Linked DNA regions of Medicago truncatula. The protein of the gene in region 1 binds, or shares a complex with, the protein of each later gene. Links are inferred from orthologs where the notes say so. Each region holds a gene or a part of one and is shown on either strand. Other genes may lie near its edges.

Region 1 (11,594 bases):
AGAGACCAAACATGCAATTAAGCCTAATTACTATTTATAAAACGTATCTAGGCCATATTGTATCCTAAATTTTAAAAATTCTCGCGAATCTGCGTATCTGTATTGCATCATATCGCACCCATACTGTATATCCAGACTTTGTTTAAACCTAAGACCACTTTCACTATTGAAACCTTCTTGTTCATTGCCCCCACATAGGTACATCTTATGATACTCACTAACTACGGTTCTTATGTAGTTAATTGCTGTAAATATGATATATGATTAGCCCTTGATCAGCTCATGTGCCTAGTATAAATATAACCGGATCCATGTACATACACCATTTCTCTAAAACCTTTTCTGTTTCAAAGACTTCCTATCTACCCATGGTAGTGATGATATAGTGTTTCTTACATGAAGAAAATAATGATTAGTCATATGAATTAATCCTTTCCCAATTCATCAGTTCACCTAAGTATTATAGAGGTTGTATTATATAGTTCAATCCATGTTTTTCATATACTCAAACTTGAACGAATGTATACCTAAAAGCCTAAGATTTTAATTCACTTTCTTATTACTTTGTACATGTCATATACTCATGCATGGTAACTACCGACCCTCACCACCATTAGACTTGAACTAACTCTAATTGCATGCATACTACTTGGAAACTAAGAGGACCAAATTATACACAACAGCCTATTCATACTGTTTGGTCAGATGATATATAAATATTCTTGTAAGGAAAGAGAATATAAAGGGCAATAGAATTATATACACAAACCCACCTCCGAACTATCAAGTTTGTCAAGAAAGTAATTATAAGGAAGTTTAGGACGATATCTCCACCATCTCTTAGCTATCCACAGAGCCCTTGTTCCCTGAGTGGTTCTCACCTTTTCTACAACTTCTTTGCGAAGACTATTTTCAACCTCTTTCATGTCAAAATCAACCTCATATTTGGCATTTAAGGAATTTAATTGCTCAACAAGACGTTCTTTTCCAAGGATTTCCCTCCATTTATGAAGTCTCTCACGCCATGTGCCCTCAGTTTGAACTTCGCCTGCTTTGGAACATGAAAATGTACTTCATTAAGAATTTAAAAAAAAAATCCAATTCCCAATAGAATTGCTGTATTTGTATTATGACCATAACCATCCTAGTGATATGTAAGTAACCTCAGTAAGAAGAAATTTAGAAGGGATACATGCAAATCCTGACAAAGAGAGGACTAGGTCAACCTCAAAGATAAGGTCATTAACGGTACTCCAATCCAAAAGACCCTATCTCACATGGTGGATTCATCTAAATGGATCAAATGAAGTTAAGGAAGTTCTACATTTTGGTAACCTAAGACAATTGTGCAAATGTAAATTGATATTGCAGTTCATTCAGGAAAATTGCATTATCAAGTAATCAAATAATATTTTTGACACAGATATAATCATCATGGTTTACAACTAGAACTTCCCACAAAACAAGGTTTAATGACCTTTTCTACGGTTATTCCAATTTTAAAATTATGTGGCAAGTCAGCGGAGTTGATTGTATAGTCTCGAAAGAAGTTTGTTAAATACCAGTTTATGTTTTGTATGTGAAATCAAACTACAAGAAAGACGATGATAGTCCAGTACTTGCAGCATACACTTTTATCGGTATCATCTTATCTTAATACAGAGGACACGAGGAAATAAATTGTTATCAGTAATTTTTTTTTTGAGGGAAAATTGTTATCAGTAATGAAGTTGTGCAATATTACATCTCTAAGTCATAATAACAACTTCTCTATATATCCAAAATGAAAAACACAGATCATGAGACAAAGTAAAAAAATAAAATAATAATAATATAAAAAATGAAAGAGTAAAAATTGTATAAATTAAAGAGAACCTGAGATGGCCAGGTCTTTGGTTAATTCGTTCTTCTCTTCACTGTTTAACCTTTCTTCATCCCCAACAATTTGTTTTACATGTTCATCAGAAGATTCCTGATCATTCTCCCATGCATCCTCTCCAACAAAAGTGGAATCATGAACAAGTGTTCCATCAGGTCTTTCAATAAACTTTTTAATTTTCAGGCCTTTTGGCATTGTCTTCCTCCACACGACCTTCTTGAATCTACAATTAAATGATGAAAACCTTGGTTAAATGCATACAACACATTAAATGATTCAGTACATGAAATTGATTTCAATTTAGTATTCAGATAGGTCAGCAATTGTTTGAACAGTGGCGAGAAGCTTTTGGGGGTTTTAAGGGCAATGTCAAAATTATACGCAAGAAAATTCACAGATAATGATTTATAAGTACTAGCATCATTAATGTTGTAGTATTGTTTAGTTCATGGAGAAGTTGTGGTCATAGCTTTAAATTAAATTACAGTTGAGGTTACATACTAGATTTTTGGTCACTGTAATTGTAACTGCTGCAGGGAGCAAATACAATGCCAGTTACTGTCAAAACAGCTTCGAAATTTTTCAAGCTTCTGGCCATGAAATTTTATTTTTGAAATAAAAAATACAGCATTATTTCTATAAGCTGGTGCAGTCGCCGCAAATACATAGTGGATGATTTTTTTGAGGATATTTGAAACCCCCCACAATTCGACATGATGCCAAATGCCATGCCTCAACTACTATTTTTTTACAGGAAAATGTTATTATAAGTAAATTAGTGGTTATGTTAGTTTCCAGTGTTTGAACTCTAGACAAGCTGGTTATAACTCCTCGACTACTATTATGGCTGCATTAAATAGCACAGTCCTCAATTTGAAACCAAGGGTGTAAATACATCATCATTCATGAAATGTCAAGGCCAAGAAAATGGAACACTCAACATCAAGCATGTCTTGGTCAAATCAACAAGACAGCATGTAGTTCAAAGAGACGAGCTACCCACATTCTCTTTTGAACACTCTCTACTATTGTCTTGTTTTAGTAACTAGAACTCTATTGAGTAGGATTTAAGTAGTGAATGAATATTATACATTCCGAAAGAAGAAGAAAAAGTTCGATAAATGAACAACTTAATTTCTAAGAGAATTATAACCAACAATTTGATATGTCAAAAGTGTATATAACATATGAATGCCAAACATAATGAATAAACGAGGCTTGACTTACTTTCTGATGTTAGTCGGGGTTGGCGCGGGAATTAACACTTCCATGTAGGCTTCAGTCGACTCTTTCCTCTGGTGGTTTAGGAAAGGTGCTTGAATTGCTACAAATACTCCTCGACAAGCAAATGCTACAACAAATATATACAGAACTAAAGCACCGATTCGCCTAGGTTCCCAGTTCTTGACATTCTGGTATAAGAATAAACTACATTGTTTTAGTTCATATTTAAAAAGAAATAGATAATAACAAAAGTAACTGGAGCCAATTATACGAATAAAGCAAGTAATCCACTTCTGCCATGCTGATCCAACAGTTTATATAGCATCTCTTTCGGTCAAAACAAATTTATCAGGACACAAATGGTTCTAGGATAGAAAATACATAAATGCCAACAAAGTCGATCCCATTCATTAAACAAATGCAATGCTATCCTGTCCTATCAATCCTATCAGGTATGTAAAGAAAATGAGAGATATTATGTCCCTGTTTAAATAAACAGTTTAATTAAGTGTTTAGATCAGAAGCGTGAATCATACAAGAGCTTATGTATAAGCTACCTCTATAACAAAAGATAAAATCAAATCAAAAATAATTTATATAAGCTGTAAGCTGTTTTCATAAGCTATCCTAGAGAACTTGTTGAAATAAGTCGAAAACAGCCTATAAATATATCATAAGTTTCTTCCATAAGCTCTCTTAAACAGTCTCTTGAGTGCTTATGTCTATAGATAAGCTCAAATAATCTACTCCCACTCATCAAACAAATGCAATGCTATCCTATCATATCATATCCTGTCAAGTATGTAAAGCGATGTTGTCAAACACTAGAAGTGGAGAACTGCGGGTTCGAACCTGCACCCCCGAATGTCAAGTGTCCCTGCACCCTTTTACTATTTAAGTTGTACTTACGGAACTATAACTATCATTTTTCTAGTTTCACTTATAATTACAAAAATGTCACCTTATTTCCTATTCACATTTTCATGTTCAATACAACAGATACTGAAAATAAAATTTGTAACTATCGGTAAATTAACAGTCCCTAACAAGTAACAATTATACCAAAACTCAAACATCATCCCAATGAAAACGAAACAATCTTAACAAACCAAACACTAAATGGTCTGTTTGGATTGACTTATTTGAGTTTACCTAACGGCATGAGTTTTGTGAGAACTTACGAAAACAGCTTATGACCAATGTCTGGTCATAAGCTGTTTTCATCTTATTCTCATAAGTTCTCGAAGATAGCTTATTGAAACAGTTTACAGCATATACAATAACAATTTAACTTTCATTTATCTTTTGTTATATAACTAGCTTATACATACGCATTTGTGCTATAAGCTGCAAATAAGTTGCTTATCCAAGCACGGCCTAAATTCTATCTCGTATCACCTATGAATAAAACTAACAACAAAAGTAAAAATCTCATTACCTTCCAATTCTCGAACCGGTTCCAATCAACAAACTCATCCAAACTCGGAATTCTCAACTCACTTCCAACCTTCCTCACACCATCCACAAACTCACCAACCTTCCCAACCCCATCTCCCAAATCAACACCCGTCTCTTTCTTCACCATATCTCCAAATTTCACCAAAAACCGCCTCGAAGCGCGGTCCAATGACTCTGACCAAGATGACCCATCAGCTCCATTTGGGTCTGCTGTAGATGAAGCTCGAAGCTTGAGCTTTCTGCGATGGTTACTGAAGTGTAGAGTGAAAAAGTTAGGATTTTGAAGAGATGGGGTTAGTGGTGATGATGAAAGAAGAAATGGGTTTGAAGGGTTTGGAAATTTGAGAGCCATTGATGGATTTTTCTACATGGAGCAGGAGGTTCTTGGTTTCATTTCTGTAGTAAAGATGATTTTGGAATTTTGGGGTTTATGTTACGTTGAGGATGAAGGGGTTTATCCATCATCCTTTGTTTCATTTATTTATCTAATCATATAAAAAATGCAAAATTACATTTTTAATCATTTAACTTAATTTCAGATAACAGTTTGGTCTTTTACCTTTTTTTTTTTTTAATTTGGTCTTTTTGTCCATTTTCATATACATTTTCAAGTTTCAAATCTAAATTCTTATACAAACATAGACGAAGATCATAGATTTAAAGACTGAAGGACCATAAGAAAATAAAATCATGAATTTTAAGTTTAAAAACTCATGAAAATAGACAAAAAGGACCAAATTGAAATGAAAAAAAGATAAAGGACCATACTGTTATCTGAAATTAAGTTAAGGGACTAAATGTGTAATTTTGCCTATAAAAAATAATTAAATTGATAATATTTTAAAGGTTTAATAGCAGTTTTGACACTCTAAGTATCACAAGGTTGCGATTTTGGCATCTTAACAAAATAAAATCCAATTATCCAACCCCCTAAATACCGACCTTTTTGCAGTTTTGGCACCCCAGACCAATTTTGACCAAGTCAATGTACAAAAAAAAATTTAATTAAAAAATAATTTTTTTATTTTTTTAATATAAAAATAAAAAAGTTACACAAGTGGGGTCTACATCAGCATTGACTTGGTCAAAATTGGCATTGGAGGCCAAAACTACAAAAGGGAAATACTTAAGGGGCTGGATTGTATTTTATTTTGTTAGGAGGTCAAAATCTCAACTTTTTGATAATTAAGAGGCCAATACTGCTATTAAACCTATTTTAAAATGTTAAATGAAAATTATCTACAATTTTGGTTCCTAAATTTAAATCAATTCATGTGTATCATTTATATTTTTGGGTTAAATATGTTTTTTAATTCCTCTACAAAATTTCTTTCACTTTTAATCTCTTAAAAAATTTCAATTTCATTTCTTATTTTTTTAATGAAAATCTTTAGGAATGTTTAAAATATTATAAGAATATGTCCCAAAAATAATTCTAATTTTTTAACTGAACATAAATTAAATATAAATTTTTTATTTTTTAATGTTGGTCATCGAGAAACAACTTCACCAACCTTGTCTCACCTTATGCCCTTATCTTTCACAAGATGTGTATTTGGTTATATTCGTGAAGTAGTATTTCATAGGTATTTGTTGAAATATTTTTTATAAAGTAAAAAGAATAATTATGATACTTCTTAGCTATGAAGCTCAGATACTTTAAAATAGAGACGTATTCGTATCGGATATCAATATTATACTCGTGGATACGTAAGCACAAAGTATCGGAATTAATTATTTAAATTTTTTAAAAAATATTTTGTCGGATACTTATATGATACTCCACATATACACAATGATACTTATAAGATACTTTACATATACTTATCCTAGAAAATATGAGGAGTAAAAAATTGAGACAATGTTGTAAAAATTGAATTGAGATGTATATGATTCAATTTTAGATATGCATCAGTAGAATTGTTTCTCGATGAACCACTTAAAATTATATTTTTTGTGGGATGAAGATAACGAGAGAGATGTGATTCAGTTAATCAATATTAAATAAAATTTGTGTTGAGTTCTTTTAATTATGCTTCACTCGATATCTGAACATATGAAAATATAATATGGTTTATAAGAAAACTTTACATTTTTTTATTTTGATCACATGTATTATTTTTGTAAAATTTTGACTTTTATATTAATATAATAATAAAGAATAATCAATGTTTACTTCATTCAAGTATTTTACATACATTTAAGTTCTAGTATAAATTTTTTATTAATGTGCCGTATTGTATCCTACATTTAAAAAAGTTCATATATCCGTGTACCCGTATCGTATCGTAATCGCACTTGTATCCTTATCCGAGCTTCATAGCTTCTTTGCTATGTATCCACCAATATATTCTTATGCCCAAAATTTTCAATTTATGTATTAATTTAGTGTTCTTTTCTGTTGGCAAGGGACACATGTTTATTTCACAGATAGTGAAAAGAGTAGAGCAGCTAGGAGAAATATAAGAAACTAAGCACTTGCCACTTCTAATATCAATTGTAATGAGATGATTGTAAATATATGTGTTGAAATTTGTAATTATTGTATGGATTTAATATAGTCATATCATAATATGCAAATAGGAGCAAATCTCCAATATTTATTTTGTAGTTACTATTGCTGCAAGTCTATATAAAACAAACTCTGAAGAAACGATATATGAACAAAGAATTAGTATGTATCTTATAATCCAGAAACCAGTCTAGATTATAAGCTATTTTCTGGAGAAAATTAGTATGTATCTTATAAGTTGCAATTAAGTTGGTAGAAGTCACAAGTCATAGAGGTATGACGAGCCATTTGATGTTTGACTATTCTCTACCCATCAAAAGTTGTTACTCCACAGTGTATGTTTAATTATTCTTTGAGAAAGTAATGCATGAACTTGCTATCATCATTGGTAAGGTTACCAGGAAACAAGTAATTGCATGATACGTTCATGACTTTAGTAGATACAAGAACACAATCTAATAGCTAAATATCTGTTAGGATTTTTTTTCTATTTACTATGGATTTACCAAGAACAATTTCCCTAGAAAATTTGTCACTCAATTAATGCTACTGCCAATTCAATAGGTATTCTGTAGCAAACTTCTAGCTAAGGTAGTTTGCTAGAGAGTTGCTACAAATTTAGCTGCAAAAGTCTTCGTAGCAACAAGTATATATTGTTGGAAGGGATAATGTAAGTGTTCAAAATATGTTCCAACGGTTTATTCATTACATTTTAAATTTTACATAATATAAATAGAATTTCACATGATAGTCCAAAATGATCTACATTTTTATATAAAAAACTAACATGCTCTTGTCACGGGTCATTTATGCTAGTACTTATGTATATGTGAGACTATAGAGAGTATTTTAAATTTGACAAAAATGTCAAAGGCAGAAATTGCTCGAAGGAAAACTCATTTCTCAACATTCGTAGTAACAAAAGCATTCAGAAGTAAAAAAGCCTTCACAAGAACCAGATACTGCATCCAAGTCCGAGTCGATGCACTTTGCATAGCACACTGAGTCAATACATGGGCTTGACAATGTTCTATTTGGCTTACCACAAAGTTTTGCTTCCACCTCTACACATAAAATTAAAAAATAATAATAAAAGAAATTAAAAAACTAAAAAATAAAAACTTAAACAAGGCATAGAATTAAAGAAGCACGTGCAAATAAATATAGGTTTATTAGTTGATTTTTACCCCATGTGAAAATAAGGAGAAATACAAGACAAAGCAAGATCAAGATGAATATGGTGTAGAATTTACTAAGAGAGGAAGTCATGGTTTATAACCCTAAATGTTGTCCTCTACAAACTGTGCCAACAAAATGTTTGTGTCTATGTGTATGGAAAAATTAGTTGAACTTTTTAAGTTTTATTTTTTAATTTTTAATTTATATTATCTATCTACTTTAATTCACCCATATATTATGTCTAGGAACCAAGGCATCGAAAAGTTTATAGGGAAGAAAATCCAATTTTCAATTATTATTATTACCAATCAATTTTGATTCACCCATATATCCCTTTTAGGAACCAAGACATGGAATTGTTTATTGGGTAGAAAATCAAGTAATTTAGAGGCGACATGTGTCATAACGAGTAATTTTGTCTAGATTTTTATTCATGTAAGTTGTCAGTACAAAATAAATGTATAATGTAAATCAATTGTAATTGTTAGAATAAAAATGAATTGATTTTAATTATAGCTGCTTCTTTTTAAAATTTACAATAGAATTAAAATATGACTTTCAAGTCAACATTCTAACTTTGTTATATATTACTATGAGTAAAGAAGAAAAACTCTATCCCCGTGACCTTAGCTCAATTGGTAGGGATATCGCATTTTATATGCAGGGGCAGGGATTCGAACCCCGGACACTTCACTTCTCCACAATTAAATTGTGTGAGCTCTAGCCATTAGACTACTTGACCAAAAAAAAAAAAAAAACTCTGATGCTCAAGAGAAGCTCTGACAGCAAAGCTATTATTTGAAGGATGAAGTCAACATTCAATGCTTTGAAAAACATCTAACCAGTTTTGTCTGGAGAAATGTCATTGTCCATGTTCAGCAGTACGTTTTGTCATTGATGGTTAAAAAGAAGATGTGTTTTAATTAGAAACGAACAAACCTATGTGCAGATAAAGTGGATACAACAGATCATTCAGAAAGAAGCAAAGAAATTTGAAGTACACTATTGAACAAATTATATTTTTTACTATCTTTTCAGTTTACGAATAACAATTTAAGAATAATAAAAGGAACATTTTAATTGAGAATATTTTCACATCTCTATGAAAATATACTAATACTTTTATACCATTTTTCAGATTTATTTTCAAGATATTTATATATGTGATTTTTTATATTAAATTGGGGAAGAGATATTTTAATTTTTTTCATCCAAGTGAGTAGAAAGAAGCTACCTCACCCAACAAAAAATTAACCAAAGAAAATTGATTAAAAAAAAGAAGGGGGACAACTCCAAAACCTTCTCAAGTGTGAGTTAACCTAAAATTAGGCCAACCAAGTCTATTTTTAATTTTTAATGTAATCACTCATAGCTTCTAAAGGAATAGAAAAAAAGTAAACAAAAGAGATCAAGGACAAGCCAATAGTGGCTAAATCATCACCATAAGTGCTACCCTCTTTGTAAATATGTGTCACTAAGAAATTCTTGCTAGAAATTAAAGTAAGACAATTAGGCCATTTTTTCTTAACTACCAAGGCACCACTCAGATGATTTGAAAGCAAAATAACCAAAGATTGTTCCAATTTTTAGCTTTTGCAAATTCTATTGCCCTCATTACACTAGAAATCTTAAAACAGCCTACGAATTATGCATCTTTGTTTTTCCACCACAACAATGGACAGTATTGAAGCTTAACAAACATGAGTTTTTCTTTGAATACAAACCTGCTTAAATTATTTTCCAGACAGTATTGTTGATGATTCTTTATGGATAAGTGACACTCTTCATTTGAAGTAGAATTCTCTAACCATTGCCAATTTTCTCAAATGAGTAGTCGAGATCAGCCGATGGTGTCATCTCTACATATCTGAGCACAACCATGGAGAGGAAAAGAGATTCCCACCTCCACACAATAGATCTGTTGGAATCGCAAAGGAGATTGGTGGAGCAAAGTAGTAAGTTTAAGTTCATGATCCAATTGAATGTGAAAATGAGGATTTGGAACAAAATTTTAGTAATCTTTCATTATTTTGGTATATGATTTCATTTATAATGTAATACTTTTTTTGGGCATATCACTAGTAATTAATCCCTTCACTTCAATAAATTTGAACTAGCAACCTAATAAGATTTGATCAGTGTATAATTATTCTTTGAGAAAGTAATGCATGAACTTGCTATCATCATTAGTAAGGTTACCAGGAAAAAAGTTGCATGATACTTTCATGACTTTAGTAGATATAAGAACACAATCTTTTAAGAGAGTATTATTTGTGAGCATAATCAATCATATTGAAAACGCTAGAAACGATATATGAACAAAGAATGAAGAAAATCAATGCTCTTTGTTACATTATTACTTAGAATGATTTTATTTTTCTTTGATATTTTTTCTCTGTTAGCAATTCTAATTGATATTGTGGTTTCTTTATTACTTAGAATGACATTGATGTGCTCGGAAATAGTGATTCTTTATTTGAACAACAGAAAGCTGCACAAGTTGATTTAGAGTTAGCCTTGGATAAAGAGGAAGATTTTTGGAGAGAAAAATCTAAGGTAGCTTGGCATGCTAATGGGGACAGAAACACTCGATACTTCCAAAGACTAACCAAAATCAAAAACACCTCTAAACTCATCACTTCCATTAAGGATGGGGATAACATGATTACTGAGCCAAATTTAATATCAAGTCACATTACAAACCACTTCAAAAATATTTTTTCAACTAATTTTTCTGTGCAGGATTTGCAGGTTCAGGAGCTATTAGATGGAACAATTCCCAACATGATAAATGAGGAGATGAATCAGTTACTCACCAGGCTTCCTACTCAATTAGAGATTCACAAAGTAGTGATGGATATGAACAAGGATGGGGCACCTGGCCCCGACGGCTTTGGGGCAGTTTTTTATCAATCCTTCTGGGACATAATCAAATTGGATGTCACTAATGCAGTTTTAAAATTTTTCAAGAGAGATTGGATCCTACCAAACTATAACGCTAACACAATTGTTCTTATTCCCAAGGTCCCTGATGCGTTATCTGTGGGACAATATAGACCAATAGCCTTAGCTAATTTCAAATTCAAGATTATTTCTAAAATATTAGCGGATAGACTAGCTCCTTTAATGAAGAATCTCATTTCCCCGGAACAAAGAGGTTTTATCCAAGGAAGGAATATTAGAGATTGTATTTGTGTCACTTCTGAAGCTATTAACCATCTTCATCATAAAGCTTTTGCAGGTAACTTGGCTTTCAAGGTAGATATTTCTAAAGCTTTTGATACCCTAGAATGGAAGTTCCTTCTCAATGTATTGAACAAATTTGGTTTCAACCAGCAATTT
Region 2 (11,013 bases), on another chromosome or scaffold:
GAATCAAAACAATTAACTACTTCCTGGTTAGAATGATAGTTTTATGACAAGATTACTCGTTGGTGTGGCAATATATATATAAGGTTGATCAATCTCATTGCCAATCACCCATCATCATATTCATCTTAATTAATAATATTGATAATTTCCTTCCTTACAATTAAACCATGAATGTATTCACTCTCTTCCTCATCACCTTCACATGTGGTTTTCTACAAAATGTAGTTTCAAATGCAAATCCTCTCTCATATGAAGCTTTCTTTAACTTTGGTGATTCTATAAGTGACACTGGGAATGCTGCTTCTATCTTGCTACCTATGCCTAACCCTATTCCTTATGGTTCTAGTTACTTTAAACATCCTTCAGGACGTATGTCAAATGGACGACTAATCATAGATTTTATTGGTATGATTAAGTTTTTTTCTAGTATTATAAATTAGTTTTTCTCCAATGATAAGAATAAGAAACAATAAAAATTATTTACATGCAATCTACAAAATGTATTTGATATATTATCTCTCTCTCACACACAGATACCTAGATACACATACGTGAAATATGGTTTAATGTCTTAACTTGATATTTAGATAAAAAAAAAATAATGAAATGAGGTTTTATTAAAAATAAATAAAAAATCTATTTTCTGTTGTGGAAATCAATAAGAGTAATATGCAATTAAATTTTGATCAAAGTTCTTTAACATGTGATCATTTCAATTGTAGCCGAGGCATATGGGTTGCCGTTTTTGCCTGCCTATGAGAATAAAAGCATAGACCAAGATATCAAAAAAGGAGTAAATTTTGCATTTGCTGGTGCCACTGTACTCGATGTTGAGTATTATGTCAAAAATGGGCTTCCTCTTCCAGATACAAATAACTCATTGAGCATTCAACTTGGATGGTTCAAGAATATCAAACCCCTCCTCTGTAAAAGCAAAGAAGGTTTTACCATAAGTAGTGGATTTTTTTATTTTTTTATTTTTATGAAATACATGAAATTTTTTCGATATGGCTAACAAACTTTGCTTCATTGTATGATAGATTGCAATATCTACTTCAAGAAATCATTGTTTATAGTTGGAGAAATTGGTGGCAACGATATTATGAAGCATATGAAGAATAAAACTGTTACAGAACTTCGAGAAATAGTTCCCTTTATGGTTGAAGCCATTACTAACACCACAAATGTATGTTTTATTGCAATTAAGTTTTGGAATGACTACTTCACTAAATTATAATTCAAAGAGAAATATCATTGATTGGATCATCCGCGTGAAAAAATGTGACATTGATTTTGTTTCTATGTGCTAGGTGCTAGTCGAAGAAGGAGCTGTAGAGCTAGTGGTACCTGGGAATTTTCCGATGGGATGCAGTGCTGGAATGTTAACATTGGTGAATAGTAATAAGAAAGAAGACTATGATGAATTTGGGTGCTTAATAGCTTACAATAATTTAGTCGAGTACTTTAATGGGCAACTAAAAAATTCTATAGAGACACTAAGACAGAAGCACCCTGAAGTTAAGATAATATACTTTGACTACTATAATGATGCCAAACGTTTATATCAAACACCGCAACAATATGGTGAGCAGTATTTATATATAATTATATATGTTGGAAATAACAATATACGTATTTGATTGCTATTGCTACCAAAAATTATTCCTTTTTATTTCATTTATGCATGCTTACTGGATCAATCAAATTAATTATGCAGGTTTTGATAAGGATGCTATTTTCAAAGCATGTTGTGGAGGATGTGGATCACTTGTCGCTATAGTTTGCTCTGATCCTTCAAAGCGTATAAATTGGGACGGACCTCACTTTACTGAAGCAGCTTATAAGCTAATAGCAAAAGGGCTAGTTGAGGGTCCATTTTCAAATCCTTCTCTTAAATCCCCTCTTTTCAAAATAGCTTAGATAACTTATTAGGATGCATGATACTACTAAAGATAAATAAATAAAAATGTAATGAATTTGTCCTTGAGGTTTTGATATGGATGAAATTTGTAACCTCAAAGGGCGAAGTTCAAATCCCATAGAAGACTATTGGGGAAAAATTCAAATAACATTTGACTTTATTGTAAAATGATCATTAATTTCACTGTAATTAATAATAATTTTTCATTCATCGATTATAAAAAATTTGTAATGTATTTTTATGAGTAATCAATTTAAATCAATTATGTGAGAATAATGATTTTTTCTTTTTGGGTGCAAAAAGGGATGTGATAATAAACTTGATCGCTATATGAGAATAATGAATTTTTTTTGGGTAAAAAAAGGATGCGATAATATACTTTAACTACATGAAAATATTAATTTTAATGTGTGATTTAACATTAGCACCCTAAAGACATAACTATCCCTGCAAAAAAATAAAGACATTGATCTCACTAGTAGTAAAAAAACTAAAATTCATGATATAATAACTATTAGATTATGTTTCCTTCAAGAAAAAAATTAGTAGATTATGTTTATTTGACTTTGTACTAAATTTTTTATTACTACCAGTTATTTTTTTAACAATATAATACTTTACAGTATCTATATGTTAATTAATTTATTAATTGGATTATAAACGCTCTTGAAATGCATCGAGTTCATATTTTAGTTGAAACAATCTTTTATAAGACTTTACTTATCTTAAAGTGAACTTTAAGTTATTAGAGCTAACTTCCTTGAGACTTTAAGGTATAAGAAAAAATAATTAATTATATCCTCCAGTTACGGTTATAAGCAAAACTCAATATTTTAGGTTCATTTATTTAATGATGTTTGTAATCTTGCAAGTACAAAATGTAAAATGCTTGTTTAAGTAATAATACAGTAACTAATGAGTACACTATACATAAGGAAATACAATTGATGACATAATAAGAGACAACTGTACATAGTCATCCAGCTTCTTCTACTTGCCTTTGCCACGATCAACCTGCTTATCTAAAATGAAATAAAGGGATTGGGGTGAGACATGATGTCTTAGTGAGTTCCACTTATCCTAGACTATAGGCAATCTTGGAAACCTATGATCGTCATTTATTTGTACATAAACATAATTTAGGGTTTGTTGTTCTATTTTGCACATCGTATCGATCTGGGGAAGTCTAGGATCATTGACAGTATACTATCATAATTCTTGTCATATCATATCATATTTCATGTTATCATTCTTTTTGGTTAGCACTGTGAGCGTGTAACACACAATTATTATCAGAGTTCATTTTACGGAATGCATCGGGTAGAGTAACCCCAACCACATTCCACTGTTGTCTGATGAAATTTCATATTGTATCAGGCTAACATCGGAACTCCTCTTATCGTCATGTAGGACTTGCATTGGAAAAATGTATGTCCACTACTGACGGGGAACCTCAACTCCAGTACTGACGCGAAGTGCGAATGCCATAACTTAACTGCTTATATAATTTCTTATAAACATAATTGTTGAAATTTGTCTTCAAATTTGTGTTTTGGGAGAATAGAGAAATCGTGACACGTCGTGTCACAATTTTCAGGCAGCGAGCATGGTTTTTCAGGGTGCTCAATCGTGTCACGTTTTTAGGAAAACGTGACACAATTTTCAACTTGCTGGGCACATTTTCAAGATAAGGTTGGCCGTACCTTGGGTCGTACGCACCAATCGTGTCACGATTTGGACAAACATGACACGATTTTGACAACTGAAGACTGCTATATAAGTGTTCTTGTGCAGATTTTGAAGAAGAGCTTTTAGAGAGAGAAACTTGGATTACAAAGGAGGTAACTTTAGGGTTGAGTGTCTTTGTAGTGAGGATCTCTTGGGTTGGGGAACATTGTAAACACCTTGGGTAGTGAGATTTCGCCATTGGAAGGATCAAAAAGCTTCCTTTTGTGTTTTCTCTTAAGATTCATTGAGAGTGAGGGTGACACAAAATGGGTAGAAATTAAGTCTTGTTCTTGTGTAAGCTTATAAGCTAATTTCTTGTAACTATTTTGTAACTCTTTCATCATAGTGGATTGGAGGGCTGCTCTCTCCCCCAAATTAGGTCATATTGGACCGAACTGAGCCAACAATCTTGGTGTGTTTGTTCCTTTCTTTCATTGCTTATCTTTATTACTTTGATTATGCTTGTGGTGTTGCTCTACACTTAGATTTAGGTCTGTTTTTGTTGTTGATGTTTGAAGACACTTTATCTATTGATTACCACTTCCTTTGATCCACACATCTTTGTTATTCATTTCCTCCTTTACTGATTTTGCTACAATGATCAGCCAAGTGACACAAAATTTTCACGAGATAGCTTATATATATGTAGGAGGAAATGACCCAAATGCCCTTCTTAAGAATTTTCCCCGATTACTAATTACTTATACATTATTTTTTTTTCTTGACATAAACTATTAATTTAATTATCAAACTACCATTCTGGTTTATAATCTCTATGAAAATACAATAAATATTCATAAATATACGAAATCCATCAATTAATTAGTAGCTAATATTAAAATTAGCAATCAAATTGATAGATTTTATGTAATTTAAAGATGAATTATTATATTTATAAATAAATTGAAGAGAGAGTGATAGTTTTTGAGACTAAATAATAGCCGACCAAAAAAACTAGTTAATTAATGGATTTTCTCTTAGAGAATAAAAACAATATAATAATTTACATATTTATTTTTTTATTTAATAAAATTAGTAAATTTATCCCCTCTCGTAAAGTATTTTTCATAATATGTCCTTGTGAGCTTAGCTCAGTTAGTATGAATAATGCATAATAATATATAAGGTCCGGGGTTCAAACCCCAGCTACCACAAAAAAAAAAAAGTATTTTTCTTAACATGCAACAAATCTAATGCCATCGTTGAACTTATTTTGTTGAGTAAATAACTCTAGGAGTATTTCATATTGGTCAGAGGGACTTATAATAGGAAACCAATTGAGTATTTTATATCGATTGTGCATCAATCAACAATAAAAGAGATGGGTTTCCTTAAAAAAAAAAAAAAAGAGATGGGGTTGGGTAGCTCAATAGTTTGATCTTGAACGATAAGAAGTTGGAGGTCTTGGTTCAAACTCGGGTAAAAGAGAAAAACTAATCTAATAACTAAGTATAGATCAATTGTTAAGGAATAAGAAGTTGGAGGTTTGAGTTCAAACCTGAACAAAGAAATAAATGTCAATCTAACAACTTGAATCACATAATTAAAAAAAGGTTTCATAACACATCTTTACATGGAAATCCGTTGAGGAAACAATAAATGTCGCATTTACAATTGTTTGAGTCACCTTCCACCACCGTATTCGTTCAATCTAGTTTTGCGTCCAAGAATTCCTATCAACCACCACTTGACCTCCTTCAATTCCATATTTGTCCCATTAATTTCGTAGCTAATTCTTGAGACAAATATGAAGAAGAAGGGGGATAAAGGAAAAATATTTTAAGATGAAATCAAGAATGATAAAATGAAGCTATGAGATTGAATTAATCAAATGAAATGATGAAAACAAAGAAAGAAGAATATTAACAGATATTGAAGCATAAGGAAATCAGAAACCCTATAGATGTTTGATTACTGTGTGTTGTTGAGGCAAAGACTCTGTTGGGATGGCCATGTGAGGGCAGTAGAGGGGTGGACGCGCAACACATAGAAGTTTCTCAAAAATTAGAAGGAACAAAGGAGAGTGGAGATAGGGGTGTCATGGAAATCAAAATGTTGCATATGGACAAAGAAATGTGCCTTGGTAAAAACAATTGGTTGCTTCGTACAAAGTATTATTTGGTAAACTTCGTGTATAAGTAATGTAGAGTTCATGAGAATTTATTATTGTCGAAATTATTGCTTTGAAGACGGAAATGACAATTCAAATTCAAACTTGTATATGCAAGGTTAGCAAGAATTGGGAGGAAAATGGCTAGTTAGAACCCGCAGTCCATTATTATATTCAGGGGCCGGGGTTCGAACCCCGGACACCCTACTTATTCATTCTATAAGGTAAATTCTGGCCACTAGATTACCTGACAAAAAAAACCGCATTTAATGTTGGCGTGAGCCTTATTACGTAAGCTCATGTGAGGGGGAGGGAAACCAAGCTTATGATCAGGATTATTCAAAAGCTTAACCTAATAAGCTTTTATAAAAAGAAGAAAGAAGACAATCTCAAATTTTCAATATTTTATCATATCGACTTTTTTTTCATATACACATATAAATTTTGTTTTTTATATAATTACCGCAGGGGTCTTCTACTAGTTTGTATTAAATAATCTATCATGATACATTTTTTTTTTTTTTATCATTGAATTTATTTTTAACCAAAAATGCAAAATGTGAGTTTTTATATTGCTATATAAATATTTCCATAAAAATAAATAATACCGCAATAAAATAAGAGTTTTATGATACCGAATTGACGATCTAAAACTAACTTTTCACACAAAATTAATCAAAAACATTTAAAATTGATTTATGAAATTATGAGGTAGTGAAATTTATTAAACTCCTTTCCCTCTTTGAACTCTATCTATCTTCTCTATCCACTCCCTTTCATTCACTCAGTCACTCTCCTCCCGCCACGCCATGCCCAAACGACCTCGCGGTTTCGGCAATTTCGTCAAGAAATTCTTCAGAAATCGCTTCAAGGAATTCAACAACGCTTATGGCGAAACAGTTAGCGATGTCTTTGCTTTCCCCTTCAAAGTTCTCTTCACTCCTTTGACCGTTGCAATTGATATTGCTGGTTCTGCTCCTCGTGGCTTTGGTGTTCCTGAGCTTGTTTCTAAGCTCTCTGCTGCTTCTGTTTTTGTTAGTTTTGCTTACCCTTTTGTATTTTAGCTTTAAAAATCGATTCTTTTTGTGTTTTGCTTATCTGGGTTATCGTCAACTAGTTCTATTTGTCAATTTTGTGTTTTTTAAGGTGAATTGTGTTGTTTTGTTGAGGTTATGTTTTTGGGTTTGTGGGGTTTTGTGGAAATTATTGATGTTTTTTTGTTTATTTATTTTTCCTTAGTTTCTGGGTTTTGGAGGAAATGAGATTTAATGTTGGGTGCTTTGTCGAAAATTGAAATGAATGTTATGTTGCTATGAAACTGTGACACCTACACGAGACATGGCACTAACACTTCAACGCCGATGATAGTTTGAAAAAAATGGAAATTTGAAGGTTGGTGCTACATAGGTAATTTCATCAAGGGTGCTACCATGTGCCCTTGCCATAAGGGCACATGTTAAGGTACTTGAATGTAGAAATTTTGCATTGAAAAGAGCAGCTTTTGGACATTTAAGAAATTGATTACACAACTGTAGTTTTTTTTTTTTTAAGGATAATGTATGTAGTTTCTTAACATTAAGGGCACATGTTAGTTTCATCAAATGAGATTATTATTTTTTTTTGAAAATTGCTGCTGATACATCCTTTATTGTACTCTTTGATGGACTTTATTTGAGTTCATCAATTAGTCAATGACTACCACAAAATGTATTGAGTAAATTTTTATCAAATAATAGATAGTGTATCAGAAAAAATGTTATAAAGTGTGTTGCTAGTGTTCTTCTTTTGATGTTTGCAGGAATTGCATTGTATGCAAGTATCACCATTGTTAGTTCTTTGTTTTGTTTTTATCTTTATTTGATAATGAATATTGCTGCATGGCTTGATTGTAGGCGGTTGCTACTTTGGGGACTTATGACATTGCATTAAACTTGGGAAGGAAGGTGATATGTCAAAGGTGCTGTTTTGTTTTGTATTTATTAATAGATAGATTGTTGTTTCCTCACTTGAGGACATGATGTGTATAATCTTTGGTTAGTGTAGTGTTGTTTGTTGCCTTTGGAATTATTGAAATCTAACTAAATGTGTTATCAAGAACAGGGACTGTGTGACATGTAATGGATGGCAGGCCATGCGGTGTACCATGTGTCGAGGAAGTGGAAGAGTCCACTATCAAGTGAAGAATTGCCACCTGAAGAGGTGAGTACTCTCCATGTGGAAAAAAGTCAGAGTTTACAGGCATTATTCCAATGTAGTTTGTGGTTTATTTAGTGTTATTGTTGAAGTTTTTAATAATGAATTAATGATCTCACAAACTTGTAAAACAGTTGATTCCAATCTCATAAATTGAGATTCTAGTTGTATTTTAATACTCTGCAATCTTTATCTTTTCGGTTCATTTTTGGTTACATGTCTAGATAGTTCAAGGAAACTTCTAAAGTAATAAACTTTGCACTATAAACGATTATAGTGACTCTTACTTAGATGGTCTTTTAGAAGGCCTCTTAAGAAAACGTACATCTGATTTAGAACAATTTGGGTATGTAAGATAGTGCAGTAAAGTGTTTTTCCGTAAATAACTCCCTCCATTTTGATTCCTTGTAGCATATTTTTTTAATCATAATTTCATAGGATTCTCTCTTCGAACTAATATATAAATACCTTATATTTTCTTCTTCAATTTATTTATTCACTTTTAGTGGAGAGAAAGCGACGGCCGAATCTGTTGCAGATGCCATTGTCAACAACCAGGCTGAGTTAGTGCACATACCATCATCCTCTTTCGATCCTCAGATACCATTACCATCAAAAGACTGTCCAATTTGCGATGGAACGGTATGAACTCAATACAATGGCTGTTAACATGATTGATCTAGTAATTTTGCACGCCAATGCTGTTGTGATTTGTGGTTGAAGAATTTTTCGATATTGCACAGGGTGTAATGGGATGTCCTGAATGTAAAAACAAATTACCATTTAAGATTTCAGCTGATGGTGTGAGTTAATTTCTTTAATTCCTTGAACCTATTTTTTCTTTCTTTCTAAATTGTTAATTTTTGCTGATTCATATTTTAAACTTAAATATCATTTGAAATTGTGATAATTCTTACCATTTTTACGTGCCCTTTCTTTGTTTAAGATTATGGAGCCCCATTGGCAAGCTCGTAATGTCTTGGAAAAGATGGATTATCCATATGAGGTCAGTCGTCATTCTAAATTCTCACCTAATTCTATCCGACCAATTGCTATTATTGTCAAAATTGATAAGATAATGTAGACCTCTCTCATATACTACGAAAACAAACCTTGATGCCATACATTTATAGTCATTTGTTAACCTCTCTGTACTATTACCATCGGAGTGAATGCTTCTCTTAGATTTACATTTTATGCAAACTACTAATTAGTATTTTTTTCATTTGAGATTCTCACTCTTATTTGACACCGTATTCTTAATCTTTTTTATGTTTTTAATATTTTCAGCACATAAGGGATAGCATGAAAGATCCCGATATTGCTGAATTTTGGTTGATTGCCTATCCACAGATTATGTATGGATTTACCTATGGCGACAATGCAAAGAAGACAATATTGTCAGAGTATGAGGTTGTTTGTTCATATTCCTTCTTATTTTTCAGTTTCAGTTCAACTATTCATGTATTGATTTGTCCCCTTATTGGTTTTGATATGCTTTTATTTTTCCTTTTGAATGTCCTCTTTGCTCGTTCAAATTATTCCTTTTGGACTTATCAATACTAGTACTGAACTACTTAGAGGATAGTAGTTCACTTGAATATGTGCTCTGAAATAGAGAAACATCAAAGAACAAAACTAATGGAGCTGGCCTACTGACTTCAAGGGTTTTAGGCTTAACATAACAATAACACGGTTGTGCTCGGTAGTGATGAAGATGGGCGTGAAAACATCTTAGAAAATGAGGAGTGAAGTATGAAAATGATTTGCCCAAAACAATCATCCTTTGCAATTTGCTGAGGAAATGCGTCGAAGTTTATTTTCCACTTCCAGTAATTTCTCTAACTGACAAGCATAATCTCTTAGAAGACGTTCTTTGAACAAAATGGTGTAGCTTATATGCCAACAAGGAAATAACTCCATAACTATTCTTTATTGCTAATCACATGCATTCCATTCATTTTTTGCACAATGGTGTGTTAGGCATATGGTTTTATTAGTCAATTGTAAGAAGAAACGTTTATACGGGCTTGAGTAACCCTTGAATGGATTTTATATTGGTGGGGAAGGTGATGCAGAAAACAAGATTGAGTATTTAAAAAGAATTTGAAGAAAAGGCAGAAGGTGCATAATACCTCTGATTATGTAACTTATAAAGTTGATTATTCTATCCTCCCATACAGTAGCTTTTTCAAGTTAACCAGGCATCATGCAGCCTAACTACACATTACCTATAACATTTATGCTCTAAAGCTTTTGATCAAATCAATTCAAAGCTGTTTTTATTTTACCTCCATAAATAATATTCGTATTTCTTTTGCGTGTGGGTTTAGGAATCCAGGTGGGACCAACTTCGAGATGAGGTGGCCACGAGAAAACCTGGGTGGGAGTTTCTGAACGATGTAAGTTTCGTATACTGTGCACTGAATATTGTTGCTTGTATTCATGGCTGGTTATGCTCTTGGCTATGGACGCAAGCACATAAATGTAGCTATGTAGGAATAAATATTTAGCTAGTTGATAAATGGAAAACAGATAAACTTTTACAATTTTGTTGAAAATCAAGGTGATTTTTTAAATAGTTGGATGCTAGATATTTTGTGTTATTCATGTATTTGAAATTATAGCATCTCAATTTTCTTCTTTTTCTTACCTCTTGCACAAATTTATATATTTTTTAATACATAATTTATAATCGTACTGTTATCACAGGCCTTGATATCTATAGATCCTGACCGTGCAAGGGATGATCCTGTCATAGGTAAAAACATCCCTTACTACAAGGCTAAGAAGGCACTGGAGGAGGAGGTTATGAAGCTTGATCCTCCACCAAGACCATCAAATTGGGGTGTATGTATTCACTATCTTCATAATTTTCTGTCACATAATTACAGGCTTTTGTTAAGTGTACTTGTTGAATGTTTCCCTTTTCATTTGTCTAAAATTTTCATATATGACTGTTGAGTTCCTTGTTATTCCACCAACATTAGTCCACACTTTAGATGTTTAGTGCTAAGTGTGAGGGAGTGTGTCTAGAGTTCCCATCAACTATAGATGATTT

The links.
Region 2: the proteins of ATP-dependent zinc metalloprotease FTSH 12, chloroplastic (region 1) and uncharacterized protein are in contact, whole or in part, in a cryo-EM structure (PDB 8XKU), measured with the Arabidopsis thaliana proteins. The link is inferred for Medicago truncatula from reciprocal best matches to the Arabidopsis thaliana genes FTSH12 and emb2737. Residues at the interface, in NP_565212.1 of Arabidopsis thaliana: Lys126, Asn127, Pro131, Ile134, Asn137, Lys138, Trp139, Trp142, Leu156, Ala160, Phe161, Leu163, Leu164, Cys167, Gln168, Tyr171, Met323, Glu327, Leu330, Val334, Ile335, Glu381, Asp382, Leu383, Leu404, Pro406, Tyr407, Phe409, Glu410, Cys413; in NP_001032071.1 of Arabidopsis thaliana: Thr82, Ile85, Ala86, Leu89, Lys92, Ser160, Ala161, Pro162, Leu163, Pro164, Ser165, Lys166, Ile195, Met196, Glu197, Pro198, Pro199, Ala202, Val205, Leu206, Met209, Tyr211, Pro212, His215, Ser224, Ile225, Phe228, Thr232, Leu233, Ile236.

Annotation. Positions count from the first base shown.
Region 1 is NC_053049.1:19,167,386-19,178,979, reverse strand, and holds the start of ATP-dependent zinc metalloprotease FTSH 12, chloroplastic, read right to left. Parts: upstream 5,032-11,594; 5' UTR 4,914-5,031; coding exon 4,542-4,913; intron 3,292-4,541; coding exon 3,107-3,291; intron 2,103-3,106; coding exon 1,876-2,102; intron 1,052-1,875; coding exon 774-1,051; intron 1-773. UniProt on the Arabidopsis thaliana protein: Probable ATP-dependent zinc metallopeptidase.
Region 2 is NC_053043.1:39,211,085-39,222,097, reverse strand, and holds the start of uncharacterized protein, read left to right. Parts: upstream 1-6,501; 5' UTR 6,502-6,568; coding exon 6,569-6,793; intron 6,794-7,651; coding exon 7,652-7,716; intron 7,717-7,859; coding exon 7,860-7,958; intron 7,959-8,458; coding exon 8,459-8,594; intron 8,595-8,695; coding exon 8,696-8,755; intron 8,756-8,898; coding exon 8,899-8,958; intron 8,959-9,242; coding exon 9,243-9,365; intron 9,366-10,285; coding exon 10,286-10,354; intron 10,355-10,664; coding exon 10,665-10,802; intron 10,803-11,013. Other genes in the region: GDSL esterase/lipase At5g45910, read left to right, coding at 168-405, 723-941, 1,041-1,186, 1,311-1,584, 1,718-1,920.